4 linked regions of the Notamacropus eugenii genome follow. The protein of the gene in region 1 binds, or shares a complex with, the protein of each later gene. Links are inferred from orthologs where the notes say so. Each region holds a gene or a part of one and is shown on either strand. Other genes may lie near its edges. The genes, in order: RNF113A, BCAS2, GPKOW and SNRPD1.

Evidence for each region.
Region 2: RNF113A (region 1) and BCAS2 share a complex: the UniProt entries of both Homo sapiens proteins name them as parts of the pre-catalytic and catalytic spliceosome complex. The link is inferred for Notamacropus eugenii from reciprocal best matches to the Homo sapiens genes RNF113A and BCAS2.
Region 3: RNF113A (region 1) and GPKOW share a complex: the UniProt entries of both Homo sapiens proteins name them as parts of the minor spliceosome. The link is inferred for Notamacropus eugenii from reciprocal best matches to the Homo sapiens genes RNF113A and GPKOW.
Region 4: RNF113A (region 1) and SNRPD1 share a complex: the UniProt entries of both Homo sapiens proteins name them as parts of the minor spliceosome. The link is inferred for Notamacropus eugenii from reciprocal best matches to the Homo sapiens genes RNF113A and SNRPD1.

Annotation. Positions count from the first base shown.
Region 1 is NC_092879.1:43,546,163-43,552,155, reverse strand, and holds RNF113A (E3 ubiquitin-protein ligase RNF113A), read left to right. Parts: upstream 1-4,289; 5' UTR 4,290-4,379; coding exon 4,380-5,429; 3' UTR 5,430-5,470; downstream 5,471-5,993. Other genes in the region: NDUFA1 (NADH dehydrogenase [ubiquinone] 1 alpha subcomplex subunit 1), read right to left, coding at 4,022-4,123. UniProt on the Homo sapiens protein: Required for pre-mRNA splicing as component of the spliceosome. As a component of the minor spliceosome, involved in the splicing of U12-type introns in pre-mRNAs. E3 ubiquitin-protein ligase that catalyzes the transfer of ubiquitin onto target proteins.
Region 2 is NC_092873.1:293,879,160-293,886,546, reverse strand, and holds the start of BCAS2 (pre-mRNA-splicing factor SPF27), read left to right. Parts: upstream 1-4,378; 5' UTR 4,379-4,653; coding exon 4,654-4,746; intron 4,747-6,757; coding exon 6,758-6,850; intron 6,851-7,387. Other genes in the region: DENND2C (DENN domain-containing protein 2C), read left to right, coding at 100-186, 1,229-1,260. UniProt on the Homo sapiens protein: Required for pre-mRNA splicing as component of the activated spliceosome. Component of the PRP19-CDC5L complex that forms an integral part of the spliceosome and is required for activating pre-mRNA splicing.
Region 3 is NC_092876.1:17,503,708-17,511,308, forward strand, and holds the start of GPKOW (G-patch domain and KOW motifs-containing protein), read left to right. Parts: upstream 1-4,593; 5' UTR 4,594-4,625; coding exon 4,626-5,930; 3' UTR 5,931-7,601. UniProt on the Homo sapiens protein: RNA-binding protein involved in pre-mRNA splicing. As a component of the minor spliceosome, involved in the splicing of U12-type introns in pre-mRNAs.
Region 4 is NC_092875.1:245,365,736-245,372,942, forward strand, and holds the start of SNRPD1 (small nuclear ribonucleoprotein Sm D1), read left to right. Parts: upstream 1-4,190; 5' UTR 4,191-4,387; coding exon 4,388-4,401; intron 4,402-4,606; exon of another isoform or gene 4,607-5,584; intron 5,585-7,207. UniProt on the Homo sapiens protein: Plays a role in pre-mRNA splicing as a core component of the spliceosomal U1, U2, U4 and U5 small nuclear ribonucleoproteins (snRNPs), the building blocks of the spliceosome.

The sequences.
Region 1 (5,993 bases):
ATGCCCTTCTATTCCCACCTTTGTCCATTAAAATTCCATGATGCTGCCTATTTGAGAAACACTATCCTGCACAGGACACAGGATAGTATATTTAATCCTTCAGAGTTTTACTGGGAAGCCTGTGAGTTAGGACAAATGCACTATTCTTCACTGTGCCCATTTTACAGATGAGGAAACTGAGGTAAGAATGGTGAAATGACTTGACCAGGGTCACTGAGCTACTGAGTGTCTGAGGCTGGATTTGAACTCACGTCTTCCAGAGGAAATTCACCCTGGACTTTTTTCTGTCCCTAAGCTACAGCTTTGGCACCCAAGAAATGATACCCATTTATTTCCACCTTTGTCCATTAAAATCCCATGAGTCTCCCTAATTGAGAAATATCCCCCTGCAGACCAAAAATAATATGACATTTAAGGCTTCAAGGTTTCACTGGCACCCCAGTGAGAAAAGAGAAATGCATTAGTCTTTACTATGCCCATTTCACAGATGAGAAAACTGAGGCAAAGAGGCCGAAATGACTTGCCCAGGGCTACGAAGGTAGTAAGTGACTTAGGGTGGATTTGAACTCGGATCTTCCACAGGAAATTTTTCTAGAACTCTTTTCTGTCCCTTACCCACAGCTTCTGCACCCAAGAAATGATATCCTTCTCTTCCCACATTTTCCATTAAAATCCCATGATTCTCCCAGATTGAGAAACACCACCCTGCATGTCACAAATAATATTACACTTAATGGTTCAACATTTCACTGCAATCCCATGAGATACAGTAAATGCATGGGCCTTGACCATGCCCATTTTAGAGATGAGGAAACTGAAGTAAGGAGGGTAAAATGACATGTGAAGGATTATTTAGCTACTCAGTGTCTGAGGCTGGATTTGAACTCAAATCCTTCTAAGGAAGTTCTTTCTCTACTGTCTCCTGCCCCTAACATACGGCTTCTACTCTCAACAAGTGAATTACTCTTTACTGGGCCCATTTTATAGATGACGAAACTGAGGCAAAGAGGGTGAAATGACTTGACCAGGGTCATTTAGCTACTGAGTTTCTGAGGCTGGATTTGAAATCATGTCTTCCAGAGGAAATTCACCCTGGACTTTTTTCTGTCCCTAACCTATAGCTTTGGCACCCGAGAAATGATGCCCTTCTAATCCCCTCCTTTGTTCAATAAAATCCCATGACTCTCCCTAATTGAGAATCATCCCCTTGCAGACCAAAAATCATATGACATTTAAGGCTTCAAGGTTTCACTGGCATCCCAGTGAGAAAGGATAAATGCATTAGTCTTTAGTAGGCCGTGTTACAGATGAGGAAAGTGAGGTAAGAATGGTGAAATGACTTGACCAGGGTCCTTTAGCTAGTGAGTGTCTGAGACTGGATTTGACCTCAGGATACAAGTAATATTATACTCAATGCCTCAACGTTTTACTGGCAACCCTGTTAGATAAGTCAAATCCATTGGTCATCACTGTGCTCATTTTAGAGTTGAGGAAACTGAGGCAAGGAGGGTAAAATGACATGCCCAGGGTTATTAGGCTAATCAGTGTGTGAGGCTGGATTGCAACTCAAATCTTTCTGAGGAAGTTCTTCCCCTACTCTCTTCTGTCCATGACCAACAGCATCGACTGAAAAAAAATGATACCCACCTATTCCCACCCTTGTCCATTAAAATCCCATGACTCTATCTAATTGACAAACATTCTCCTGCAGAGCAGAAAAAATATCACATTTAAAGCTTCAATGTTTCACTGGAACCTCAGTGAGATAGGATACATACTTTACATACATTCTTTACTATGTCCATTTTATGGATGAGGAAACTGAGGCAAAGAGGGTGAAATGACTTGCCCAGGGTTATTTAGCATGTTACTGTCTGAGGGTGGATTGGAACTCGGGCCTTTCTGAGGAAGATCTTGCTGTACTGTCTTCTGTCTATATTCCACAACTTCTACTCTGAACCAATGATATCCATTCATGCCCACCATTGTCTATTAAAATCCCATGACTCTCCCTAATTGAGTAACATCCTCCTGCAGACCGGTAAGAACACTACATTTAAAGCTTCACGGTTTCATTGGAACCACAGTGAGATAGGCTAAATGCTTTAGTCTTTATTATCCACATTTTACAGATGAACAACCTGAGAGCCTGAGTCATTAGGTCACTTGCCTTCCCTCACTGGAAATGTATGAGAAAGGGTTTGAACCCAAGTCCACTAATTCTATCACTCTTTCCATTATGGTGTCTATCAGTCCATCAATGAGCATTTATAAAGTACCTACTATGTGCTAGGTATTGTGCTGTGTTTTCAAATAAAACAGTTCTTGCTCTGGAAAAGCTCACATTCTGAGAGAAATAGCATGCACATATACAACCCACCCTAGACTCTCACCTATCAACTATATTATATATGAGGCAGTAACAAAAGCTAAAAGGGACAAGGAAAGGCCTGAAATAGAAGATATTTTGGGTAGGATTTGAACCAGTGGTCTTCTAGAATCCAAGTCCAGTACCCTATCCACTACACCATTCCACCCTCTCAATAGACGTTGTAGATTATATGACATCTGTTGTTATTTAACTGTGATCCCTTCTAAGGGTAGGTCTAGTATCTGACTCATCTCTGTATCCCCAGCACCTAGCATTGGCCCCTGTACACAGTAGCTTAATAACCGTCTGCTGAATAAATGGAGTGAATATAGTTTGTGGGAAGTAGATGGATTCTCTCCTTTCCATTTGGCCTTGAACCTCTCTATCTTAATCTCTATTTCTTCTTGCCACTTTCTTTGTATCTTCCCGTGATTTTCCCACTCCCTTCCACAGCCAGCTCAGGAGCTCCTTTGCTATTACTAAGAGCCCTTCAGCTGTCTTCTTTTACTTAAAAAATAATTTACACATTTATATAGATATGAATATTATATATTTACATATCACTTTCATTTCTGAATGTCCCCCAACCTCCACCTCTACCTAGTGAGCTATCCCTTATAAAAGAGAACAGGAGGGAAAGAAGAAGCATATTGGCAAAAACTCACATATCTAAGTCTAACAATAAGTATAGCAAATGCTCCACACTCATAGTGAGGGAGGGGAGATAAAAAGGGGATGAGCATTTATACAATTCCTACTATGTGCCAGGAAAAGTGGCTAAGCTCTTTTAGAAATATTATCTCATTTGATCCTCAATGGCAAGCCTGGGAGGTAGGTGCTACTATTACCTCACTTTTACAAATGCAGAACCAGGGCTAGCAGGGGTGAAGTGACTTGCCCAGGGTCACACAAATAATAAGTATCTGGGATGAGATTTGAATTCAAGTCTTCCTGACTCCATGCCCAGTACTCTATTTATTCACTTCACTGCCTCAGATCCCCTATCTCTGTAAAAAGGGGGTTCTCATTTTCTCAGGCAACCAAGTGTTGCCTCCAACATTCTATTTACATTACAGGAAGGGAAACCAGAGCTTCTCCCTCAGTAAAATGGTATTTTGGCCAGAAACTAAAGAGAATACCCCTTTACTTGGAACAGAAAGGACTTACTTTCTGGCATGTCACCTGTGTGAGGAAGATGGAAAGCTACTAATGGAAAGGGCACTGGATTTAGAATCAGAGGACTTGAGGTTGAATCCTGTAGGCCCTTGGATATGTCACTTCACCTCCCTAGGACTCAGTTTTTTCCTCTGTAAAATGAAGGGGGGAGGGGTTGAATTGGATAGGCCCCTGGGTCCCTTCTAGTTCTAATTCTAGGATCCTATGGGTGACCTGAAAGAAGTCCCTTCCCTTCGCTGGGCCTCAGTTTCTTCCTCTGTAAAATGAGGAGGTTAGACTCGATAGCCCCTAAGGTCTCTTCCAGCTCTAGAGCAAGGACCCTGGCCAATTCCCTTCCCCTCTCTCCTCAGTACGGATTGGCCTCAAGGCCAGCTCGAGATCTCTGGGTCCTTTCTCCAGTCTCGGAGCCGCCCCCGGGCTGAGGAGCCCAAGGAGACCACCTCCGGGTCCCAGCTCAGGTTTGTGGGGCCCTACCTTGCCGCCATTGCTGTACTTTTGAATAAGCGCGGTGGTAATTCCCGGGATCGTCAGACACACGCCCATCACGGCCAGTCCCGGCAGAATTTCGAACCACATCTCGAGAAGAGGCTCGCGGCCACAGACAGTTTAGACACTGTTACGACGCCGGTCGCGAGATAAAGGTGACATGAGTCACTTCCCGTCCCAGCAACCCCCGCGCCGCTCCACCCCGCCAATCAGCGGCGACGACCAATCAGCGCCCGCCGCCGTGCCGTGCCCCGCCCGCTAGTAGCCTCTTCCCGACAGGAAGTGACGCCAAGACAGGAAGTGAATCGTTGGCATCGCGGAACTTCGCAGTTTCAGAAAGATCAAGATGGCCGACGACCTGTCTTCTGAAGCTCCGGCTGTGCCGGTGTGCACCTTCCTTTTCAAGAAGTCGGCCCGGAAAGGCACTGCGAGTCGCCGGAAACGGCCTGCCTTCGAGAAACCGTCGGGGGAAGGTGGCGGCAGCAGCAGCAGCAGCGATGAGGGCAACGTGGTGGTCCGGCGGCAGAAGAAGCGCCTGGTCCCCAACCCCATGATCCAGAAGACGCGCGGCAGCTACCGGGAAAAGAAGGCGCCCACCTCTTACAGCGGCGGCAGCAGCGGCGGCGACGACGAAAGCGAGCCTTCCACCGTGAGTGTCGTCTATAAGTCCACACGCTCGGCCAAGCCCGTGGGCCCCGAGGACATGGGCGCCACTGCCGTCTACGAGCTGGACACAGAGAAGGAGCACGATGCACAAGCCATCTTCGAGCGCAGCCAGAAGATCCAAGAGGAGCGACGGGGCAAAGAGGATGATAAAATCTACCGGGGCATCAACAATTACCAGAAGTACGTGAAACCCAAAGACACTTCCATGGGCAACGCCTCATCCGGCATGGTAAGAAAGGGCCCCATCCGTGCTCCTGAACATCTGCGTGCCACGGTGCGCTGGGATTATCAGCCCGACATCTGCAAAGACTACAAGGAAACCGGTTTCTGCGGCTTCGGAGACAGCTGCAAGTTTCTCCACGACCGCTCTGACTACAAGCACGGCTGGCAGATCGAGCGCGAGCTGGACGAGGGTCGTTATGGGGGCATCGACGAAGACAACTACGAGGTGAGCAGCGATGAGGAGGACCTGCCTTTCAAGTGCTTCATTTGTCGTCAATCTTTCCGGAACCCCGTGGTGACCAAGTGCAAACATTATTTCTGCGAGAGCTGCGCCCTCAGTCACTTCCGCACCTCACAACGCTGCTACGTCTGTGACCAGCAAACCAACGGGGTTTTCAACCCAGCCAAGGACCTCATTGCCAAGCTAGAAAAATTCCAGGCAGAAGGGAAGGCCGTCATCTCCGATCCCTTAGAAAGCTCAGATGAAGGTGCAACCCCCATTACTTAAACCTACCGAATGGTAACAATAAAATCTCTCTCAAAGTTTAACATGAGTGGAAATTTCTGACTCAAGTGTCGCGGGGTTGGGGAGGGGGTGGAGGGACGGATGAGAAACAATGGGGAGGTCTGGATTACCTAGTGCCCATGAGGTACCATACTAAACTGGAATGGGGGAGGGTAGGCATAGGGAGGAGGGAAGACTTGGAATGCTTGGTACCCATTCTGGCTAAACTGGAGTAGTGTGGGAGAGGCTTGGAGTGCCTGGAGCCCATGAGGTACCATACTAAACTGGAATGGGGCATGGGAAGGGGGAGAAATAGGTATAGGGAGGAGGGAAGGCTTGGATTGCTTGGTACCCATTCTTCCTAAAGTGGGATAGGGCAGGGGAGGCTTGGATTGCCTGGTGTCCATGAGGTACCAGACTAAGCTGGAATGGGGGGGGGGGGTAGGCATAGGGAGGAGGGAAGGCTTGGATTGCTTGGTCCCCATTCTGGCTAAACTGGGGTAGTGTGAGGGGGGCTTGGATTGCCTGGTGCCCATGAGGTACCAGACTAAGCTGGAATGGGGGGGG
Region 2 (7,387 bases), on another chromosome or scaffold:
TAATTATCTAGCATGTTCAAAGAAAGGTAATTAAGTTCTCTTGCATTAGTTCAGTGTTTGAATGTAAGTTGGTTTCAACAATATGAATTTCCCTCGTAGGCCTTTTTGAAGTCCGGGCCATTCAGTACTTGGAAGCAATTCCAGAGTCTGAACCCAGTGGGGTGAACAAGATCCTTCGAAGTCTTGGTAAGTTATTATGTTTGTATTAAGTATGGTTAGAAAACCTTCATGATGCCACAGTTCAAAGATACCATAAAATATTGAGATGCATAAAATGTCTAAGTGCTAATAACCTAGAAAAGCCTTGCTAATGATGTGTCATCCTGTTAAGACAACTCCCTAGTTCCTGAGTCCTGAAGGAGAAAAAACATCCAAGTAGTTGTGAATTTTTCCCTTTCATGCCTGGATCAGTTGATCTTTGCCCAAGGTGGTCCTCTGGGGACACCTCCTTCAGACAGCTACTTTTGCCCTACCTTACAAACCAAAGGATTAACACCTGAGTATAGAAGGGACCTAGCACAGAACAGGAATTCTTGTTTCTAGACAAATCTTAGCTTAGTCTCCAAATTTAAACAATATTATTTTCAGATTCCTAGTTGCTTGTAGTCAATTCTTAATTATCTCCATCTATGGAAGAGCATACATGGAACTGCCAAACCAAAATACCAAATCACACCTATCCTCCGAAAAAGAAATACATTTTTATTTGGTTTTGGAATATATATCCCTAATCCTAATCCATACTAATCAAACATACTTTAAGTCACTTCTTTTCCTTTATAAACCAAGGTAACAGAGTAGATAATCTAAAGAGATCCAAGTGTTTAGCACAGTGCCTGGCACACGGTAGGCACCGTAAATGCTTGTTCCCTTCCTCCTTCTCTTCTAAAGTAGTGATTATTAACCTTTGTTGTCATGACACCTTTGGCAATCTGGTTTTTATAGATAGCTTTTAAAAATATTATCTAAATATTGTGAAAAACAATTGCACTGACCCAGGTTAAAAATCCTTGAATTTACAAAGATCTTTCAGGTCTAAAATGCTGATTCTGTACTTAGTTGGGCAAACGTTAGAATTTGTGTTCTAAGAACGCAGATCAATTGACAGACTTATGGACAAGCTTACCTCTGCACTTGGCAGAACTGAATAAACAATGAGTAAATATTAGCCTTATAGTAGATAGAAATGAGTGATTTAAGAGTATCCTATGCTTACTTCTTCCCTTAGGAAATAAAATGAAATTTCTGCAGAAGAAATGAAAACCTGAATTTCTGTACCTGAAATGAAACAGGAAATGCTATCCAGGTCCAGGTACCAGGATGTACTTACTGACTAGGATTCTATATAAGCCTTGGAAAAGCTTAAAAGGTTCAAGGAAGCAGTCAGTCTGAGGATTTTACCCAGATACTGACTTTGGAGTCACAGCTGAATTCTTGAGGGTGGTCTGAAATCAATGCTGTCTTCATTTTATATCCAATTTTTTTGGAAAGAAAACATTTCTACTTCTTAATATTTAGGTTCATTCTCTGGTGCTTGGACTATAGGGAATTTGTTTTTCTCAAGAAAGTCTTGTTAATGTTCAGTTAAAATGAACATATTAGGCGAACATGAGCCTTATGGTAAATTTTAGGGTAAGTGGGAATGGTGGGATGATGTCCTTCACTGAGTTCTATGGCAGCTTTGATTGGCCCAAGCCAAATATTATCTTCATGTTTTTGTCTGATGTTCTTTTTTGTGGGATCCCACTCAGGTGGGTAAAGTCCTACTTTTCAACACTTTTTACTTACAGGATAGGCATCTTGTAGTCCATTCACATGGGTACTCAGCCCTGTGAGATCATGGTTATTAGAGATGTTTCCTATCAAACTAAAATGAACCAGTGCCACTTTCTAGCCCTCAGGACAGGGGACTCTGTACCCAGCAGAATGACTCAAAATTTGGGTTTCTCCTTAAACCTTGTGTTTTTTGCTATGGGAGAGCTGAACCTCATGGAAATGTAACCTCATTCTAGGGTCATACCACTTACCTACCTGGACTCTTGGTACCCAAAGCAGTGCTTGTTTTTGAATAGAGTGGCATTTAGTAGCACTATGTTTAATTTTCAGACTCTGGAATCCATCCAATATGGATATATTTAACTGGCACAAACATATTTATTCAAATTTAACAAAATTTTAGTTTTTCAGAATAAATTTCATTGCTATTCTCACAAGCAATGAACTTGTGTCAGTTAGTTTGTTGTGTTATTCTGGCAAATTAGGATCTGCCTTCGCTGCCTAATCAGGTAGCTTATACCTGTATAAATCTGAAGCAGACACCATTTGATGGTAGATGTTGTATAATATAATTCCTATAATCTGGGCCTGGAGAGGAAAGCTAGCCCTATGTCTGTTTTAAAATGTATAGTAAGCATCTTATCCCAACAGGGCCCCTGTTAGATTAAACATCTGTCCAGTTGCTCCCTTCTAGAACTTCACCCCTTTGCTGTTCCCAAAGGAATCTCTGATGGGAAAACAGAGTATTAATAAAATGGTGGGTGTGAGGGTGGGGGGAAGAAAAACTAAGTTAAATATAGCAGGCTGGGTCCTGTTGGTCCCTCTGTGAGGAGACCCCCTGCCTCAGGGATGGGGTCCAATGTTATGCCCTTTAAATTGAGGATGATTCCTTGAACTGTTGTATTTTATTTTTGTAAAGTACTATGGATCATGGGTACGTCTGTGATAGCAGAATTGCTCAAGATTTGTATAAAAAGTTGTTTACAGATTTTATAATGTTTCAAAAAATAAAAACATTTAAAAAGTCATTTTTCTTGAATGGAATAAAAGTCATATGCTTTTGAGAAGTGTTTTACTTTATTTAAGTACAAAATAGTTGTGCCATGGAATGCCTGAAGCCTGACTTTTAAGATCATAGCTTTTGGAGTAGAGAAAACCTGAGAGTTCAGTTAGTCTAATTTCCTCATTTTACAAATGAGGAAGGTAAGGTTTAAACACACAGGTAGTAACAAAGGCAAAGTTCAAACCCAGGGTCTCTTACTTCAAGCCCAGCATTCTTTCTACTATACCTAATACACACTCCTCCAGCGAGCCTATTTCCTTACTTCAAATACCAATTCCTGCCTCACATAGGACCTCTATGTTGTACTGCCCTCTTCTCACCTGGAACCCAGAACCATGCTCTACGCAGTTGGCACAGTGCTGAATGAATGAATACTCTTACAAATGTTGTATGGTAGAAAAGGACCTGGATCTGAAGGCACAAGATCTGGCTGCGGGTAGGACTTTTTTGGCCCAGCTTTGTGTGCCTTGAGAAGCCAGAAGCCATCTCACCCACTGGCAGGTCTGAAAGACTGGAGGTCCAGTAGCGTATTCAAACTATGCCAGTACGGATGGATAGTCTCTCCAGGAATCGCCGGATGCAGCATCTGCAGAGTGCTGGGCACGTGGTTCCGTGTCAGGGTTTGTCAGCGGGATAATCCCTCTCGTTCTGTTATGTTGTCTGCAGCAGAATGGGCATAGAGGCCATCACACCGGTAACAACATCACATGCTTAACTTCCCAAGGATTCAAGGAGGAACATGCTAACGACGTCCGGAGCGCTGACGAACTGAGTGCAGACGGAAGCAAGCTTTTGTCACTTATTTTTACTTTTTTCTGTGCAACACGGCTGATACGGAAATGTTTTGCACGATTTCACATGTATAACTGCCATGGTGGTGTTGGCTTCTCAAATGGCTGAGGGACTGGGAGAGAGAGGGAACTGGGCACTCAAAATGTTAAAAAATAGATGTTAAAATGATTATTTTTTTTAAAACGGAGGCAGCAGGCCTCCATCCCAACCTGTAAAAACGAGGTGGACTTGACGAACACGGATTCTTTCCTGCTAGGCCGCATTAAAGTCCCACGTCCCTTTAAGCTACAACAGTCTTGAAGGGAGGGAGGGTCTCTCCCTAGGCCCACCTCAAAATCCTGCCGGGGAGTTGTGTCTACACGTGACAAAAGAGATGCCGGAGGAGACTTACACTAAGCACGGACACGGAAACACGGCCTGGATGGAGCGGCATAGAGGCCCACTCGGTGTCAGCCCCTTCGGTCCCGATGCGAATCTAACGGGGCTCCTCGCGTGGCCCTCTGTGGCTGTGGCCGCAGAAAGAACTTGCTACAAACCTGCTGCTGCTGCTGTCACTTCATCAGGTGCTGGGGAAGAAAGAAATCGGTACCATGGAGGAGAAGGAATTGAGAAAAGACTCGGCGGAGGCAGGTTTAACCTCTGACCCCACCGGAGTCCAGCTTCTCGCGGAGCATGCCGGGAAAAGAGCGTCTAGCGCCTCACCTAGACGTCGAGTCACGTGATTCGTGTTAACCGAAGGGGCGGGGCTTTTTTTTTTTTTTTTACGTCTCCGACTTGCTTTCAGTGGACACATTGAATCAAAGAGATTTGAAGAATTCATATCATCCCCTCACATGAGCTTGGGGAAGTCGGGTCGAAAAAACGGGAGAAAAATTCCTGGCAAAAGGTCAACCCTAATTATTCAGCAACTGCATCTGAGCACGCGCGAGAAGACTGCGCACGCGCACGATCAGTAACTTCCTCAACGCAGGCGCCAACGGCTCGACCTGGAGGCGTGCGCTGCGAGAGGCTGAGGCCGCAGGATGGCGGGTACTGGCCTTGTGGCTGGAGAGGTGGTGGTAGATGCCCTGCCGTACTTCGATCAGGGCTACGAAGCGCCTGGCGTGCGGGAGGCGGTGAGTATACAACCCTCCCTCCGACCCTGCCTCGTCCCCTCACATTTACAAAGCGCCCCAGTACTGTCGGGTCCCCGGTCCTCCCTCGCTCCCGGATCTCGCTTCTCCTGCCGGCGAGGCCCGCCCCTTCTCCGCTCGCCCCGCCCCCGCTCCCAGCCCCCCCTCCCCGTGGGGCCCTTCTTGGCCCTCTCCCTCCGCGGCAACTTTCCCGAGTCCGCCTGTATGGCTTTTCTCCCCGCAGAGTTGCAGGATTCGTTGCTGTTCTCTCCCCAGACCTCCGTGGGCTTTTGCGGGCTGCTCCCGTGCCTGTAATTCAGTCTTCGTCTCCCGCTCTTGGCTTCCCCCGCCTCTCTAGCTCCCAGTCAAAATAGCAGCCTCTCCCAGTCCTTCCCTCTCCCATTTATCCCTTAGTTGTGCACAGTGCAAATTACAAATAAATATGTCTGAATTCGTGCTGTATATACAAACATAGGTGTTTGTGTGTTGTCTCCCAAATTAGACTAGACTGAGAACAGGGACTGGTTTTTTGCCATTCTTTGCATCCCTAGCATCTTATGCATAGAAGATGCTTCATACTTTTGATTTGACAGGCTTTAAAGTCCTTCCTAAAACTTGGCATTACCCTACCTTTCCAAGATTATGTTACGTTGTTCCTCAACATACATGCTGAGATCCAACCAGACTGGACTTCGATTTTTGTGATGAGGTACAGACTCTGGGAATCTCCTTGAATCTCCCCACTTAACCTGGCCTTTCATACTCAAATCTGTTGCCCTTGGCCTGGCCTGGCCTTCCATTATCTCTTACCTCTGGATTGCCCCACCTACATCCCACCCAAGCCCTGCATTGTTTGATATCTCCCAATTGCTTCCAGCTACTTCCCACCCTGGATTACTTCACTAGTTACCCCAGTCGCATCAAGATCCTCTTTAGACCCTCCCTCCAGACCACTAGACCACCTCTAGATCTTTCCTATGGACTTTCTGTATATGAGTTCCATCTCATCTCTATGAAGGCGCTCAGGTTCAATCCAGCACAGACTCTGTCTAGCTGAGTTTCTTTCTGGACCGCTGGTATTGATGGGTTAGGCTCCTTAAGAGTCAACCCAAGATGGTGAATCTTTAATAAACTTTGCTTTTCTGACTTTAACAAGGCTTGTGTTGAATTCATTCAAGCAGGTCTCAGGTGTCGGTATTAGGGGGGGCCCCAGCACCCCTGAACCTCAACATTTGACCAACCAGCAAATTAGTATTTTTAAACACATTAGTATTTTAAGCACAATTTGCATACTAAGAAGAAGCAGCTTGACTTAGATAGACAGCCAGGAAGACCTGGGTTGAAGTTCTGCTTTTGACACATAGCAGCTGTGTGGCCCTGGACCAGTTGCTTAACCACTCAGTGCTCTACAACTCTAATCCTCTAAATGCAGAGGAGATGTGGAGCTTCATTGGAGCCTTATATTAATGAAGTCACAAATTTAGTCAGAATCCTTTCCTGGCTAGGCTTTTTTTTTTTTTTAAAGAAGAAAAGAATCCAGTATCAGGAATGATGAGAAATGGATTCCCGTAGAAAGGCAGTGCTTAAATTGAGTATTGAGGGGGGAAAGCGATTCTGAGAGGCAACAGAGCAAATGCTTTACAGCCCAAGATGACAGCCAGTGCAAAGGCTTAGAGAGAGGAAACAGAGCAAGAAGGTCTTTGCCTGGGCCACAGAGTGCTTATGCCAGGGTGGAGGGGCAGGCCAGGGCTCACTTTTGGAGGGTTTTAAAATCCAAACAAAGGAGTTTGTGATTGGTCCTAAAGATGATGGAGAAAGTGTACGGTTAGAAAATCCCTTTGACAGCTGCATAGATTTTAAATAATAGAGATGATTTTATTTGGTGCTCTTTCTGCTGCAGAATTATTTGAAATGATTTCTCTAGAAACACTTGCTTTCTCTTTTTCTTTCCTCCACTTCTCTTTCTTTCTGCCTGCTACATAAACTCCCCTGAGATTTTTCCCATTTTCCTTAGGCTGCTGCCTTGGTAGAGGAGGAAACACGTCGGTACCGGCCAACCAAGAATTATCTGAGTTACCTGCCTGCTCCAGATTACTCAGCTTTTGAGGTGGGAGTGGACTTTTTGTCTTCCTATCTAGAAAAGTGCTAGGGAACACAGGACAGAATCCCAGTTTCCTCTTGTTGATGATCATTGTTGTAACTTGTGAATTTCAGCTAACCAAACTGATTATGTTGTTTATGGTTAATTTTACAAAGGACAGAATTTCAGAAACATTTTGTAAATATCACTACTGAGGGCATTAACACAAGAGTGTATTTGATATTCAGGTATCTCTTCTTCAACAGTTACCAAAATAAAAAGTTTTGAAAATCACTAGCCACCAATTCTTCCAGCTCTGATAGAAGTCCTTCTTTGTAAGAAATTAGTGACTTAGGGAAAACAAATGAACTTTGGTCTAGCCAATGTTTGAAAATGTGTTGTAATTGTAATTAGTCATTGAATTGATCTAGGTTCTGAAGTATTTCAAAGTTGTTTTAGTTTATGGTATTCTGGTCAGTATGTAAATTGTCCCATGTTTCTGCTTAGTTTAGTCTGTATGAGTTTATACAAGTCATCTCAAATTTCTCCAAAACTGTCCCTTTT
Region 3 (7,601 bases), on another chromosome or scaffold:
CATGGTGATGTCATTTTGGTCCTCTTTGAAGGTGAAGGACAACAACCAACCAACCAAGTGAAGATCTCATCCCTAGGAATTATAGAAAGGAAATTGGACAAAATCTTCAGAAATGATCTGAATTTCTCCCGAGATGGACACAGCATTTTCTAGGTGGGTTTAGGGAGAAGGGAGAAAAATTACCCATCATCTTAAAAGAGATGTTTTCCCTCAAGCAAGGGAAGATTCACAATTCTCTCTGGCCTCTCCAATATAGGCTTTCCCTAGTCTCTCCAATAGAGTTGCATAAATTCTTGAGAAGCAGAAAAAAGCTGGACTTTGTTTCTCAGTGTCTTGTGCCCCTTTTCAGCTCCTGGGGTCCAAAAGGAGATGGGAGGAGTAAGCTGGTCTCAGAGTCAAGAGCTGATCCCTGCACTTCCAGCTTCTCTTTCAGAAAGCCTGGGAAAAACAAAAGCCAAGGATCTAAGTTCAACTGGAAAGTCAGAGATAGCACCTGCTTGGATCTCTCATTTCCAGCAGCTCAGACAACATGAGTATTGTAAATATGAGAGAAAGCAATCAAAGCCCTCCCCATTCTGCTTCCTTTGTAGGGCATGAGAACACACTTTGGTTCGAAGGACGCATGACAAAAACCCAGCAGGCAAAGTCCCCATCCAGGCAAACCTGTACCTGACCAAGAAGTCCCTCACCTACCATTTCTCCTAATTAGTGGGTCAGATGATGGTTGGCAAGGAGGCACCTTCTACCTCCCAAAACAACCCAGTCCTATTTAGGCTAACTCATTGCAAGCCAAGTATGGGTTTGGTTTAGGGAAAAGTTTTCTGCTTGCAGCACCCGTGTATGGCCCCTAATTCTACCCTCTAGAGCAGCTTAGAGCAAATCTAATTGATCTTTCCATGACAGGCCTTCAAACACTAGAAGGAGACTCTTCTGCCTTCTTCAAGCGTTCATTTGGCTTGTGGTCCTATCCCCCATCGAAGAGCTTACTCACTTCTGGATACTCTGAATGCCATGCAAACTTTAAAGAGAGATAGCATTGCTCAGCACTTGGTCCACAGTCCGTTTTCCTAAGCACCCTATAATTGTCACATGAACTGTCTCCCCCTCCAGCCTGCTGAAGACTTAGCAGTTTGTGTTCAGGATATGGGCCTTGTCTCTGACAGAGGATAGAAAACTTCACAAAGTGAGACCCCATTCAAACCAAAGCAGCAGATTAGAGTTCAGGGCTGGGCTGACAGAGGGCAGAAGCCTAGAGCCTCCAAAGCTTGAACATCAGTCTTAAGATGCTATATTTCCTTTCTCATTTTAGCACTGGAGAAAGTGAAGGACCTAAGCCCAGGTGATCCAGATGTCTAACCCACCTCTCACACCACCTGTGGGGTCATGGACAAGGCCCTTAATAACTGTATGGAGTAGGTACCATAGGTATCCTACCTACTTTACAGTTAAGGAAAATGAGATTCAAACCCTCACCATCCAAGTCTTGAATTTCATGTTACCTAAACCCTGAAAAAATCCAGGTAGACTGCAGAACCCAAGACTTCCTTGCCCAACACTCCTGGATGGCAAGTCAAGACTGGGACTAAACAGCTGGTTTTGAGCTGACCCTGTAAAGACTGGAGAGCATGCAAGGGAGGGACAATTATAAAGTACCCATGGACCACATCATTTGGGTAGAAAGGAAACCCTACAACACAACTTGGGACATGGAAGAGTGAACATCAGCCACCAACCAGACACTTCCCAAATGGAAGTTAGCTCTGTTTCCTTATACCCAACCCTTGGGCAGAATGAAATTGTGATTACTTCCCCAATGATGTTCACTGGAACCCTCAAGTCTTTGCCTAGCTTGGGGATACTCAGAAACCTGGCATAATGAACAAACAGACTGATATGTTCATACAAAGGTTGATTGTGGCTTCTAGTCTGCCATCTCTCCAAAGGTTAGAGATGAAGGGGTCCTTCCAGAACGTTCTAATTCAACACTCACTTCCAGAGGGGGAAATGAAAACCCAAAGAGAAGAGTAAGGTGCTCCAGTTAATAGAGGATAGAGCAGAGACCAGAACCAGCACCTCTGTACAAGTGTGTACTGCCTTTCCATGATAAGAGCAACAACTCTTGTTAAATTGTCTATGAAGTGATTGACAAATGTTTTGTTCCAATAGTGAACCTAACTGATTCTGAACTCTCCCTGAACTCTGCCCAGAACTGAAGGCTACTCTAGAATCTGAAACATCATCTAAGCCGTAAGTGCTGATAATATTTACTATAAATATTAGACTTTAATAAGGGCCAAAGCTCGAATTAAGAAGAGTCTGGACCTAATAGTCTCCCTTGTTATCTTAAGTAAACTCAGAGAATGTCTTTTTGTCAGAGAAACAAATAGGGCTGACTTAGTAATTTCCTTAGGAGACCCTTTTCCTGGCATCTTAGTGATAAGGAAAAACACAGATTCCTGGGTTATAATTTCAACTTTGTCTACTCTGTTAAGATACCCTTTCTTGTGTCAGCAACTTCAAGGACCTGTTTAGGACAGGAGGTCTGCCATCAGAGTGATGAGATTTTCTCCTTATCTTATGTCAGAGACACATATGAAAATAGGAAATTCACATAGCTTGGGATCATACAACTCAATTGATACTACTTTGTTAATTATCTTACTAAATTTACAATTTGTCCAACTAAGAGAGTTCCTTTCTCACAGTAACTCACGGTAAAATATATATATGCCAGAAGATTTCTATACCAAGTGGTCAGAATATTTTTCTGACTCCATAATGCATTGTCGCTGTTTTCTTTAAAGGGAATTAATTAATTAAATCGTGAAATGTACGCATTTAGCCTGTTGCCTTTTCTTTAACCAGGTTTTCAGGTCAGCAGTGCATAGCAATGCCCCGACCAGCTATTTAGACAAGGAAGTAAGACCAGGAACAGACGCTGTCTGGCACGTTAGACTCCTGGAGGCTCTGCAGCAGGGAGCTGTCCAGCTTCCAGACCATTGTGATGAAGTCTGTATCTTAGCAGACGGTTCTTCTTCAAGAGCAGCCCAGCTGTGCGGGGTGGTAAACAGGCAGTGACTTGGGCAGGGAGCCCCGACCGAAATGGATGACTGCGTTGATCTCGGGGATAGGGAAGAAGCAATGGTCACCTTTCCAGGGGTAAAAGGAACCAACTCGTCTGCAGAATGGAGCCATTAAAGCAGTAAATATCCTTCAGGGAAGGGGGAACAAAAGTCAGAAATGTCTAGACAGGGGGCAAGCCCGAGTGGGCATTCTCACCCAGCAGAATCCAAAGCTTTTCCCAGAAAATAAGAAAGTTGGACGTTAGGCGGAGGGAGGGGAGGGGCGCTGGGAGGGAGGTCAGAGGGTAGAGTTGCACCCCAGCTTTTCTTTACATTTGTCTGCTTCGCATCCAAAGGGAACGCGCCGTCCTTCGGCCCAGCCTGACCCATGGCTCCGGGCAACAGGGCTGGGCCAGGGGCCCCTTAACCTCCTCGGGGCACGGCCACGCTCCGGGCTGTGACATCATAGGGGAGGGCTCCTGGTTGTTATTCAGGGGACACTCTCCCCCCCACCAGCCTACGGGGTATTGGGGGCGCAGACCCTCCCCCGCTGGTCCAGCGTGGGGGAGACACAGGCCCCCGAGGGCGCTGGGTTTGCGGTGGGTCCGAATCCCGCCCTCGAATTTCCCCTCCCCCCACCCCAATGCCTGGAAACCACCGAGAGGCGTGGCGTGCCCGCAGCTCTAGTAGCCACCTGGATCGTCCACCTAGGGGGGAGGAGGGAAGGGCGAGAGAGAGAGGCGAGAAGAGGGCGAGGCGTTCTCCCACAACCCGGCCCCCATCATCCCCACCACCAGAGCAGCAAGGGGAGGGGGACCCTGCCTTGCAGGAATCCTGCGCATGCGCAGCGACTCCAGCGTGGGTGGGTGGAGGTGGAGAAAGAAAACTACAAGCCCCGGCAGGCTGCGCGTATGACAACACCGTGCCATCCTTCTCCGGTGCCTTTCTTTGCCCAGACTGCTTTGTCGAAAATGGGCTAGACTGTTCTCCCTAGTGCACCGTCCCCCGCTCGTGGCCCACCCTCTGAAACACACATCAAGGAAGGGCATCAAGTTCTCCCGGGTGGTCCCGGTTCAAGCATATGCAAGACGAGGATTGAGCGACTACAAGGCCCAGCAGCCACCGCGCGCTAACAAACGGAGGAGGCTGAACAAACAGCAGACGCCAAGTGCAAGCAGCCCCACGGGTGCAGGGGAGGGTAACTACAAAGCCCGGCATCCACCGCGCACATACCGCCTCTGCAGGTGGGGCCGACTACAAGGCCCAGAAGACATAGTGAGCAAACCCTGGCAGCAGGAGGGGCGAACTACAAGACCCAGCAGGCCTCGCGCACAATCTGCAACTGCAGGCATGGAGGACTACAAGACCCAGAAGGTGACAAGTGCAAACAGCCCCACCGGTGACTGACTACAAGGTCCGGCAGCCACCGCGCACAAACAGACGCTACTGGTGAGGCAGACTACAAGACCCAGCGTGCCCCGCGAGCCAGCAGGAAGAGGAAGGACTGCATAAAGGACCCGGCAGGCTGAGCGCTAGGTCAGTCCTGAAGCTGCGGGTGGCGCGATGGCGCACGGGGATAGTGAGGCGGGGGCCGCCAGCTCCGCGGCCCCTGGGCCTCCGGGCCCGGTCTCTTTCGGCTTCAGCCGCACGGCCAGCCGGAGACGGTTGGCCGAAGGCCGCGAGGGGCAGCCGGAGGAGGAAAAGGACTTCTTGCGGGCCGTGGAAGGGCGGGAGCTGCGCAGTGTGCGGCCGCCCGAGGAGGCGCCGCGGGAGCTGGTGATCCCCCTACTGCGGCGGGGCCACGGCCGGACAGCGGCCCCGGGCCAGGCCGTGCTCCCTGAGGACGGCGTGCTCCGCCAGGCCGTGGAGGAGCTGATCGAGGAGTCAAAGCGGGCCGAGCAGCTGGGCCCGGGCGCCGAGGCCGCCGACCGCTCCATGGCCATCCCGCTCCTGGCCCGGGTTGGAGACGCGGCCGAGGCTCCCGAGTCGGTGGGCGCAGACTACGAGGCGGTGCCCGTGGAGGCCTACGGGCTGGCCATGCTCCGGGGCATGGGCTGGAAGCCGGGGGAGGGCATCGGGCGCACCTTCAAGCAGGTGGTGAAGCCCCGGGAAAACCCCCTGCGCCCCAAGGGGCTGGGGCTGGGGGCCAGCCTGGTCCTGCCCTCGGGCCCCCCAGGGCCCAGCCAGCCCGGGAGCCCCAAGGACGACGAGGAGCTGGTGGGCCTGGCCCCTGGGAGGGCCGTGGTGGTGCTGTCTGGGCCCCACCGAGGCCTCTACGGACAAGTGCAGGGGTTGGACCCCGACAACGCCCGGGCCGTGGTGAAGCTGGCCCCCGCTGGCCACGTGGCCACCCTGAGCGAGCACGTCCTGAGGCCGGTCTCCCGGCAGGAGTATGACAGGCAGACCTTGCGGGGGGCCAGGGACCCCAAGACGGGCCACGGAGGGGCCCCCGAAAAGAAGGGGCTGAAAAGGAAGCAGCCCCCCACGGAGGAGCGGGCCCCCCACTGGCTGCGCAGAGACCTCCGAGTGCGCTTCGTGGACAAAGGGCACTACAAGGGCCGCTACTACAACACCAAGATGATCATCGAAGACGTCCTGAGCCCGGACACGTGTGTGTGCAGGACAGATGAGGGCCGGCTCCTCGAGGGGCTGCGAGAAGATATGTTGGAGACCCTCATCCCCAAGGAGGAGAAGGCCAGGGTCATGGTGGTGCTGGGGCCCCACCGGGGCCAGGTGGGCCGGCTACTGGGCAGAGACAAGGATAAGAGCCGGGCTCTGGTGCAGCTGCTGCAGGAGGGGGAGGGCACTGTCCTGCAACTGGACTACGACGCTGTTTGTCACTACGTTGGGCCTGTGGCAGAGGACTGAAGGGCTCCCATCCATCAGAGGGACCCAGTATCTGCATTTTCCTGGGGTGACTGAGGATTGTAATGTGGCCCAAGACTGGGCAGAGGGGTGTCTGTGGGTCTGTCTCATTGTGCCTTCAGGCCATCTTGGCAGAGCCCCTAGTTAGTGCCCATCATCATGCTTTGGCCCTTTGGGGCAGGGGCCAAGGAGACAAGGGGAAATTACAGGGGCCTGCCTGCCTTCCTTTGGTTGGTTAGTGTTTCTTGTCTAAATAAAAATAAGTTTTCCAAAAAAAATTTTTAATCACTGAGCATTCAGACAGTTCACGGAGGAATAATCACAGTATCTCAATGAAATATTGAGGGGGAAAAATCAGTGCCAAAAAGCTCTTCATTTTTAGGACTTAAGTCATTGAATCCCTGGCCGGTATTCTGGGCCTGGAAATGTTGGTAGTAACGGTCCTTTCAAAATGCACCAAGGATAGCTGTTGGAGAATCCACTGTGTAGGTCTATGAACTGGGCTTACAGGGGTCTGGCTCATATTCCAATGGCATTGTGGGAAATGAGTGGAGGTGCTAATGTTTGAGGTTAATACAAAGTGTCCTTACACCTTCATTCTTACTCAGTGTGTAATACCCCCCACAGAGAGACTGCTATCCTAGGCAGTTCATTACTCTCACTCTCACCTAGTCCTCTACCTATGTTCCTACTGAACTGGATTGACTATCCTCTCATATTCCGCACAGGTAATTCTTGGAACAGTTAAAGCCCACCACCCCTCCCCTACATTGCCAGTACATATGGACCTCAATCCCTACAGTCTCAACTGGATCCATTCATTTTAACCTTGTATGGACATGACCTTGATACCTCTTAGTTCCCATTCCATGGTATCTTTTGTCATAGACATTACTGCCTCTTTGAATTTCCAACCAGATAAATTAGCTCCCACCTGGGCTGTGGTTTCGTGGAGTTAGATGTGCTAGTTGGAAGCTCAATCAGAATAAATCAGAGCCTCCATTTAGGAAGGAATCAGTTGTGAAGACAATCTCCTCTGGAGGAAACTCAAGCGAAAGGTTATCTAAATTGCCACATGTTACCACGCTAGTTTTTTACCCAGTTCGTTCTAAGGGTGGTTTGAGAAAAGACGAGCAGAGAGAGGCATTATGTAGCCGAGAAGAATCCCAAAAGTAATGAGGCAGACACTAAGGGCCGTGTGACATTTGAACCCAATGCTGGGTGTGAGAGGAAGGGGAGAAGGCAGGAAGGGGAAGATGGTCCATCTCAGCTAAGTCATGAGGAGCAACAGGACCGTTGGAAAACTGCAGAGATTTGGAGGTTTGCTGTTGTAAATGATGGCCATTGTGACCTCTGCCATCTCACCTGGTACACACAGCACCTGGCACCTTATGTTTCCCCCATTTCCAGTGGGAATCCAAATTAACCACCTACTAACTGTTTCTTGACCTTCTTAGAAAAGAGAGGAGTGGTCTGTTAAGGGCCTTCCAGGCTCTAGCCCCAGGAAGCTGGCTTGCTGCATGAACTGTTGGCAATTTGCTAGCCTTTCCATGCCTATGAGCGTATTCCTATTGAAAAAAGAAAAGTTATTGGTCACAAAAATCCTTGTTGCACTGGCTTGTGGTGTTGACTCAGTGATGGTGGGCCTTTGCTTAGACAACAATCAATTTACCC
Region 4 (7,207 bases), on another chromosome or scaffold:
TTGAAGTGCTGCCTGACAACCTCCCTTTTTGGAGAGTGTCAGGCAGAGACTAGACTAGATGTCATTATTTGTCAGGTATGATGCAGTCTGGATTTTGTTTGTCCAGATTGAACTGGGTGGCTGTTGAGATTCCTTCCATGTCTCAAATTCTGTCATCCCCTCCAACAGCCCTGATCCATTAGCTCTCCTCTAAGTTCATCCTGTGTGACTCAGGTAGACCAGAGTTCTATTTCTGCCTCAGTCACTTAACGGGCTTATAGAACTCAGCAAATTACTTAATCTCTCAGCCTCAGTTTCCTCATCTGTAAAATGAAGATAGCAGCTACTTCAAAAGACTGTTGTGAGATTCAAGCATTTTGCAAAACTTTAAGTACTATATCAATATTAGTTACTACTATTATGTAAAACTAGAAAATATCAATAAAAATTTAAAAAAGACAAAATGTTGCTTTTAGTGAATGGAGGTTGACCCAGATGTCATAAAATAAATCATTACTTCTAAATTAAAATACATGTTTTGCATATTATAGGGGACATTTTAAAATTTCTTTGGCTAAAATTTCAAACACAGGGTCTACTGCTTTTCAAAAGCCAAGTATTTTGGTTGCTCTAATCTCTGTTTACATAGATAATATAATGGCATATCCAGGTTTTTATCTGTACTTGTTTTATCTTCTCATCACATTACATTTTGGGTTTTATGGAATGATTGTCCATAATTCCAACAGAGGAATATAGGATAAGGTAACCCAACTTATAGTTAATATTTGTCTTTGGGGAACTGGAATTTATTTTCATTATAAAGTAGAAAAATTAAAATTTGGTTTTCCTGTCCTAACTTTTAAAAATACATATTCTATAATCATTCAGAATATTCCATTAATTTTTCCTTGAATGTATTAATTCCCTTGTTTCATGAGTTGTGTTGGTTGGATACCTGTAACAAATTTTTTGGAAGACAAGGTGTTTCACAGATAATACAGAGAAAGACACGGGAGTTTTCGGTCTCTAACAGGTTCACTCTTAATCTGGTCAGACAGGCAGACAACTTTGGAGGGATTAATAATCAGCTTTATTCTAGTCTAGTCTTCTCAAATGATTGTTGGGAGAACCAGCTCCCACAGCATTCCTTAATCACCCTTCTCAAAGGGAGTGGTGGGGGCAACTACCCCTAGTCTCAGCGGGGTCAATTGAGACAGGGATAGCTTGTTCACTCTCTTAAATCCCCTCAAGCCTCAATGGGGGCTGGTTGAGGCAAGTACATGTATTCCTTATGTATGTATGTGGTTTTCCACTCATTGCCCACTGCCCACTTGCTTCATAAAGCACTAGACAAAGAAGGCATCTTTCCAACATTAAGCTCACAGGTTAACTTTAGCAAAACTGTTATTCTGCACAAATGTAGTAAATGTCACATTATGTTACCCCTTATCTCCTGGAGCAGCCTCGGTAGGCCTCTCTGTCACTATGATTCTGAGAATTAATATCCTTGGGGTTATTCTGGGATTTATTTTCTAACACCTGGAAATTAGACATTCCCATGGCCATGGATCCTGAGAAACTAAACTAAAAAAAGATAACAAAATCCTCCTTCCATATACATGGACAAGAGCCACACAGGATAAGCCAAAATGAATGATTTCCATCTCTGTCATTAGGAGGAATACTCTCATCAATAAGGCTTCTATTCATTTGAATTCAATCCATTTTCATAGTATTCTAATGTAAAATGATTATCTTAGTAAGTTCCCAGCATTCTTTTGTACATGGGGTTATATTCCACCCTATTAATTTATTCACTTCCACTATGCAGTGGGACTATATTTAGTCCTGTTATTTTTACATTTCTTACTGCTGATCAGCAAAGCATGTGCTGTACATAATCAAGGTTTTATATGCCTCTTAGATCCTAGGATACAGTTGAAAGGGACCTTAGAGATCATCTAGTCCAAACCCATCATTTTATAGGTTCTGTCCTTTTATGATGCAGACATTTTGGTGACTGAAAGGAGCAGAAAAGGGACAATTGTGTATGAGCACTGATAAAAATCAGCTTGAGAGGAAATGCAGCCCATCAGATAAAAGTACTAGGGGAGAAACAGAGACTTTTCTAAGAGGACCAGATAGAACAGTCTCTCTTATGCTGAAGCTGGGGATGGCTAGAACTCATTGCTATCCATCAGCTTATTTACATATGACAATTTTCAGTATTTTGAAGGAAACAGGTGAGAAGTTATAAGAGCAGCTTGTGAACTCTGGGAAAATCTTCAGTTTGTGCCATATCGATAGAATTGTGGATTTTGTTTTTTTTTTCAACCTGAATCAGAGATGGGGCACTACTCATGAAGAGCGCCTGATTAAAAGTCAGAAGTAACCAGAGAAAAAGCAGGAGAAGGGGACAGAAGACTTAGAAAATGACAAGGGAAGCAGCTCAAAGAAGATATAAGGAAATAACAAGCACTGAAACTAGCTAAAAGACATGCTTTGTAGTTGACGCAGGGAACTATTTGATTGGAAGAGAATGCTATAGCTATTGCAAACTGACTGAAGAAAGGCAGAATCCTCTTATGTAAAGAAGCGTTCTGGGTTTATTGCCTTTTACCAACACTCCTAGCCTGAGAGGGGAAACCTCTCATATTGTTACTGTTCTCTACCGTTTTAGACGGGGAAACCCTAAATCCTACAAGGAGAACAGACCTCATTAGTACAGCTATTTACATACTTAAGGGAACTGTGTTTCAGGAAAGAATGTAATATATGTTGCTAAAAAGAGCATCATACTTTTTCACCATCCTTCCATGAGTGACAACTCACTAAAAGAGCTTCCTTTAAGTCCCAACTAAAAATCCTTCTTTGGGAAGTCTTTCCCAACTCCGCTTAATCCCGATTCCTTCCGCCTTTTACTTATTTTCTATCTACGTAGCTTGTTTGTATATAGTTATGTATCATTTTCCCAAATTAGATTGGGAGTTCCTTGAGAGAATGCCTTTCTTTGCATCCCCCGTGTTTAGCACAGTGTCTAGTGCATAGTAAGAACTTCATATATGCTTGACTCACTAATATGCTGAATTTTTCTTCCTTTTAGCTTTTGCTCCGTTTGCTGTGTCTAGAATGTTCCCTTTCTTTGCTTGCTGAATGCCTGACTATCCTTTAATGGCTTGCTCCAATGCCACTCTTTCCACAGTCTTACCTGATCCTCTTCCCTTCTCACCACATCCCCATTACAACTTTTATCCACCTACTTTAACAACCGCCCCTTCTTTACACCTTGGGGCACTGTTTTGCCACTCTGTGCATTACCTATCCCCCCACTCTCTATGCTTGCCTACATCTTCCCAGGGAACAAATGAAACTTCATTAATTCAGACCCCACTGCAGTAGATTTGTGTAGTTAGACAAAAAGCACCGCTTTCTGGGTAAAACTTCTGAATTAAGTGGCTTATCTTCCCCTGCCCACCCAAGGTGCCACAGTTATAAATGGAGATAGATAGCTTCATTCCCTAAAACACAACCCCATACATTTGCTTTTTTCAAAATTCAGCTCTTCATGAAATCTTTTGATTGATTTCACTTTTGCCTTTATTCCCAGTGCCTAGCAGTAACTGTTACTTAATGAATGCTTGATGGATTTAATTTTAATATATTGCAAACACAGACTTGTTACGAATTACATTTTTTCAATAACTAATATCTACTCTTTTCACTTGTTTCAGTCCTTTTCAGTTATGTCCTAACTCTTGGTGACCCCACTTGGGGTCTTCTTGGCAGAGATCCTGGAGAGGTTTGCCATTTCCTTCTCCAGCTCATTTTACAGATGAGGGAACTGAGGCAGACAGGGTGAAGGGACGTGCCCAGGGTCACTCAGCAAGATGATCCTTCCTGACGTCAGCCCAGCACTATCCACTCTGCTACCACGTACACACATGTAAGTATGGGCACAGATCCATCAGGCACAGTTCGGAAATTCCAATAAATGGGATTCCTTCTTTAAGATCAATTACAGAAAGCACTTGTTTTTGCTCAACTTATCCAAACTTTGGCTTTGTGCATCCCGGGCAAGACGGGAGTATGACCGATAACCTGAGGTTTTTACTAAAGAGGAGAGAGACATTGCTTTCCCCCAAGACCAACAGTGAACATCCCGGCCGAGCTCTTGCGGACATTTGCACCGTCGCCCTCCAGGGGGAGCCGCAGCAACAACATGCTCCTGGAAAGTACCCGCTCCCCCCGCCTCAGAGCCGTCTCGAGTTTTCCTCCAGTCGGGTTTTCTACTTCCGGTTCTCTTGGTGGAAGTGCTTCCGGCCATTCATTCCCTCAGCCCCTGTTAGCGCCCTGGGGTCGTGATTTTGCGACCTGTAAGACCGAAAAGTCGACGGCTCCGTGAAGGATGAAGCTCGTGAGGTGAGGAGACGGCGAGAGCGCCGGCCGCCGCAGTAGGGTCGGGTTTGGAGGTTTGTCGCCAGACGCCGTGCGGCCAGTCAGAATAGGCGCCAAAGTGGCGTGTGCACGCGAGATAGGCCGGGACAACGGCGGCCCTTCCCCGCCCTCGGCCCGCTCTCCCGCCCGCGCGGCGCCTCGCGCTGCGGCTCGTGCCCCGAAAACGACCGCCCTGGGCGGGGCGAGGCTTCCCTCCTCGCGACCGGCGTTGTGCGGCCGTTGTCCGACGGGGACTCGTGGGCCTGGCCGTTAGCTTCTAGGCTCTCGCGAGACGCCGCGGCGCGGGTCCTGGGCCCCGGGCCCCGGGCCCCCGGCCCCCGGCCCCCTGCCCTCGCTTCTGGGGCCCTTTGGTCTGGGCCTTTCTTAACCCTGTTCCAAAACCGTCTGACCGCTTTCACGTGGTGGAACCGTAGGGTTAGAGCTCGAAAGGACTTAAAAGACAGGGGGCCCCCTCGCCTTGCCATTTTACGCTTGAGAAAAGTGAGACCTATGAATGCCAAGTGGCGTCCGGCTCCTCCGGCGCTAGGCCCAGTATTGCGCCTTCCGCTTGGACCCCGGGGGCAGGGCCTGGGAATTCGGGGGCGCGGCAGCGGGCAGGAAGAAGCACCTGAGAAACGGACGGGGGACCCCCTGGGTGGCTTGGCCTTTGTGTTTTCTATCGGCTAAAGCCCGAAAGCCGAGGCGGGGTCTGACTACTAAAAACGTCAGTTCCTTCAACTGGGGCCTTTACGGAACTTTACAAAATGCCTGGGCCCTGCGGTCCATTATTTGGAAACCCATTATACCATTAGATGTCCTCTCCTTCCATCTTTGGCTGTTTCTACCCAATTCAGCATTTCCCACAGCCCACAACTCCTTAGAATCGGATAAACTTAAAGGATTAAACTTTACATCAGATGGTTCCAGTTAAAGTTTGAAGGAGTCATTGAAGCCAGCTTATTACTCTGAGCCAGCCGTAGTATTCGAAGCACACACGGAGAGTCGGGGTGTACCAGGTTTCCAGATCCCAACTCTGCACTGTTGGGAACTATAAAGTGCTACGACAGGTTTTATATTTAGCCAGTTTCTCCTTGTCTTCTAGCATTAGAGCACAGTAATTGCCTCTCAGCTGCATTTAAAATGATTGCTACATTTCCTTAAGATAAAGGTATGATTCAGACTAAAGCACTTAACTCTGAACCCACTCAGATGTAGAGTAGACTAAGGGGAATTTTCTTTCAGCTTTAGAACTCCAATCTTGCTTGCCCCTCGGAAATATAGAGGATGCTTTTGTCTAAGATATCTTTTAAAAGGAAGAAGACAGGGTTCAATTCAGGGAATTGTGCAGTAGGGGAACTTCATTCAAGAGAGTAACTGAATAAAATCAATCTGAAAAAATATCATACAAAAATTTCTATATTTGCCAACCCTGGAAGTGGTATGTATAAGTTCTCTGTGTCTAGAGAAATGGGACTAAGAATCAGAATTTGAAGTTTTGGAATGTAACTTTTGTATAACTACCCAGACTCACTCAGATAACCAGATGTGGCATTTGTAGACCTCTTTTGCAAGATGACTGTGCTTAACATTGCCCTTTCTGCTTACTTCAAGCTTTTCATCAGTCAATAAACAATCATTTATTAAGTGCGTTTTACTAGGCGTACAAGGCAAAAAAAAATCCCAAGCAGACCCTGCCTTCAAGGAGCTTATACTATACTGGTAGAAACCAATATGTATCCAGACAAAAATGATGAAACTGCCCTTGCAGTAAAAGGGACAATGGCACTCTACTTGTATTTAAAGAATTTAGGTGCCAGTTTATTGCACTGCCACCTCTGTCTGCATGCTATTGGCCAACTCACTTAAGCTCTGTGAGCATCCATTCATTCATCTGCAAAACACAGAAGGTGGACTAGATTTCCTTTAATGTTCTTTACAGTTCTAGATGTATAGTTTTTTTAATCAGATATGTGAAATTTAGTGTTACATGGAATATTCAAATGGATCTTTAATTGGGTTAGATGTTCCCTTAGTCTCTGCAGATTACAACCACCATTCCTTGTTGGTACTGTATACCTTTTGTCAATGTCATTCCATAAATTTGACGGTGTCTAACCATTATACTAGAGATCTGTAATGATGGGGTACAGATTCTGGGAACCCCCTTGAATCTTCCCACTTAATCTTTTTTTCATGCCCAAATCTGTTACTCTTAATCTAGCCTAGGTCCTCCATTGTCTGTTGCCTCCCCATTGCCTGCTGTTTCCCACCCTTGATCACATCAAAATCCCACCCTCTTGGTTCTGACCTCTTGTCACCTCAGTCTCAGCAAGATCCTCCTTACATTCTTCCTCACGACCCTCCCTAAACCCCTCCTCCCATCACCCCAGACTACTAGACCACCCCCAGATCCCTTCTACAGTCTTTCTGTAATTAAGATTCTTGTCTCCTTGAAAGTGCTGACATTCATTCTAGCTCAGATTCTGTCTGGCCTGCTTGCGTGTCACAAATCTTGAGGATTCTTAAGAGTCAACCCAACATGGTGAATCTTTAATAAACTTTGTTTTACTTTGGCTGAAAGAAGGCTTAGGTGAAATTCATTCAACCAGGATCTAGGATGTTGGCATTTTGGGGTCCCAAGCACCTCTAACCTTAACATTATGGTTCTTTGACCTCAATATTACTAAATTTCTCCTGACTTAAAAAAGGTGTTGGAACACTTTGAGCGGGGGTGGAGAACTTGTGTCCTCCTGGCTAATTGTGGCCCTCTAGATCCTCAAGTGCAGCCCTT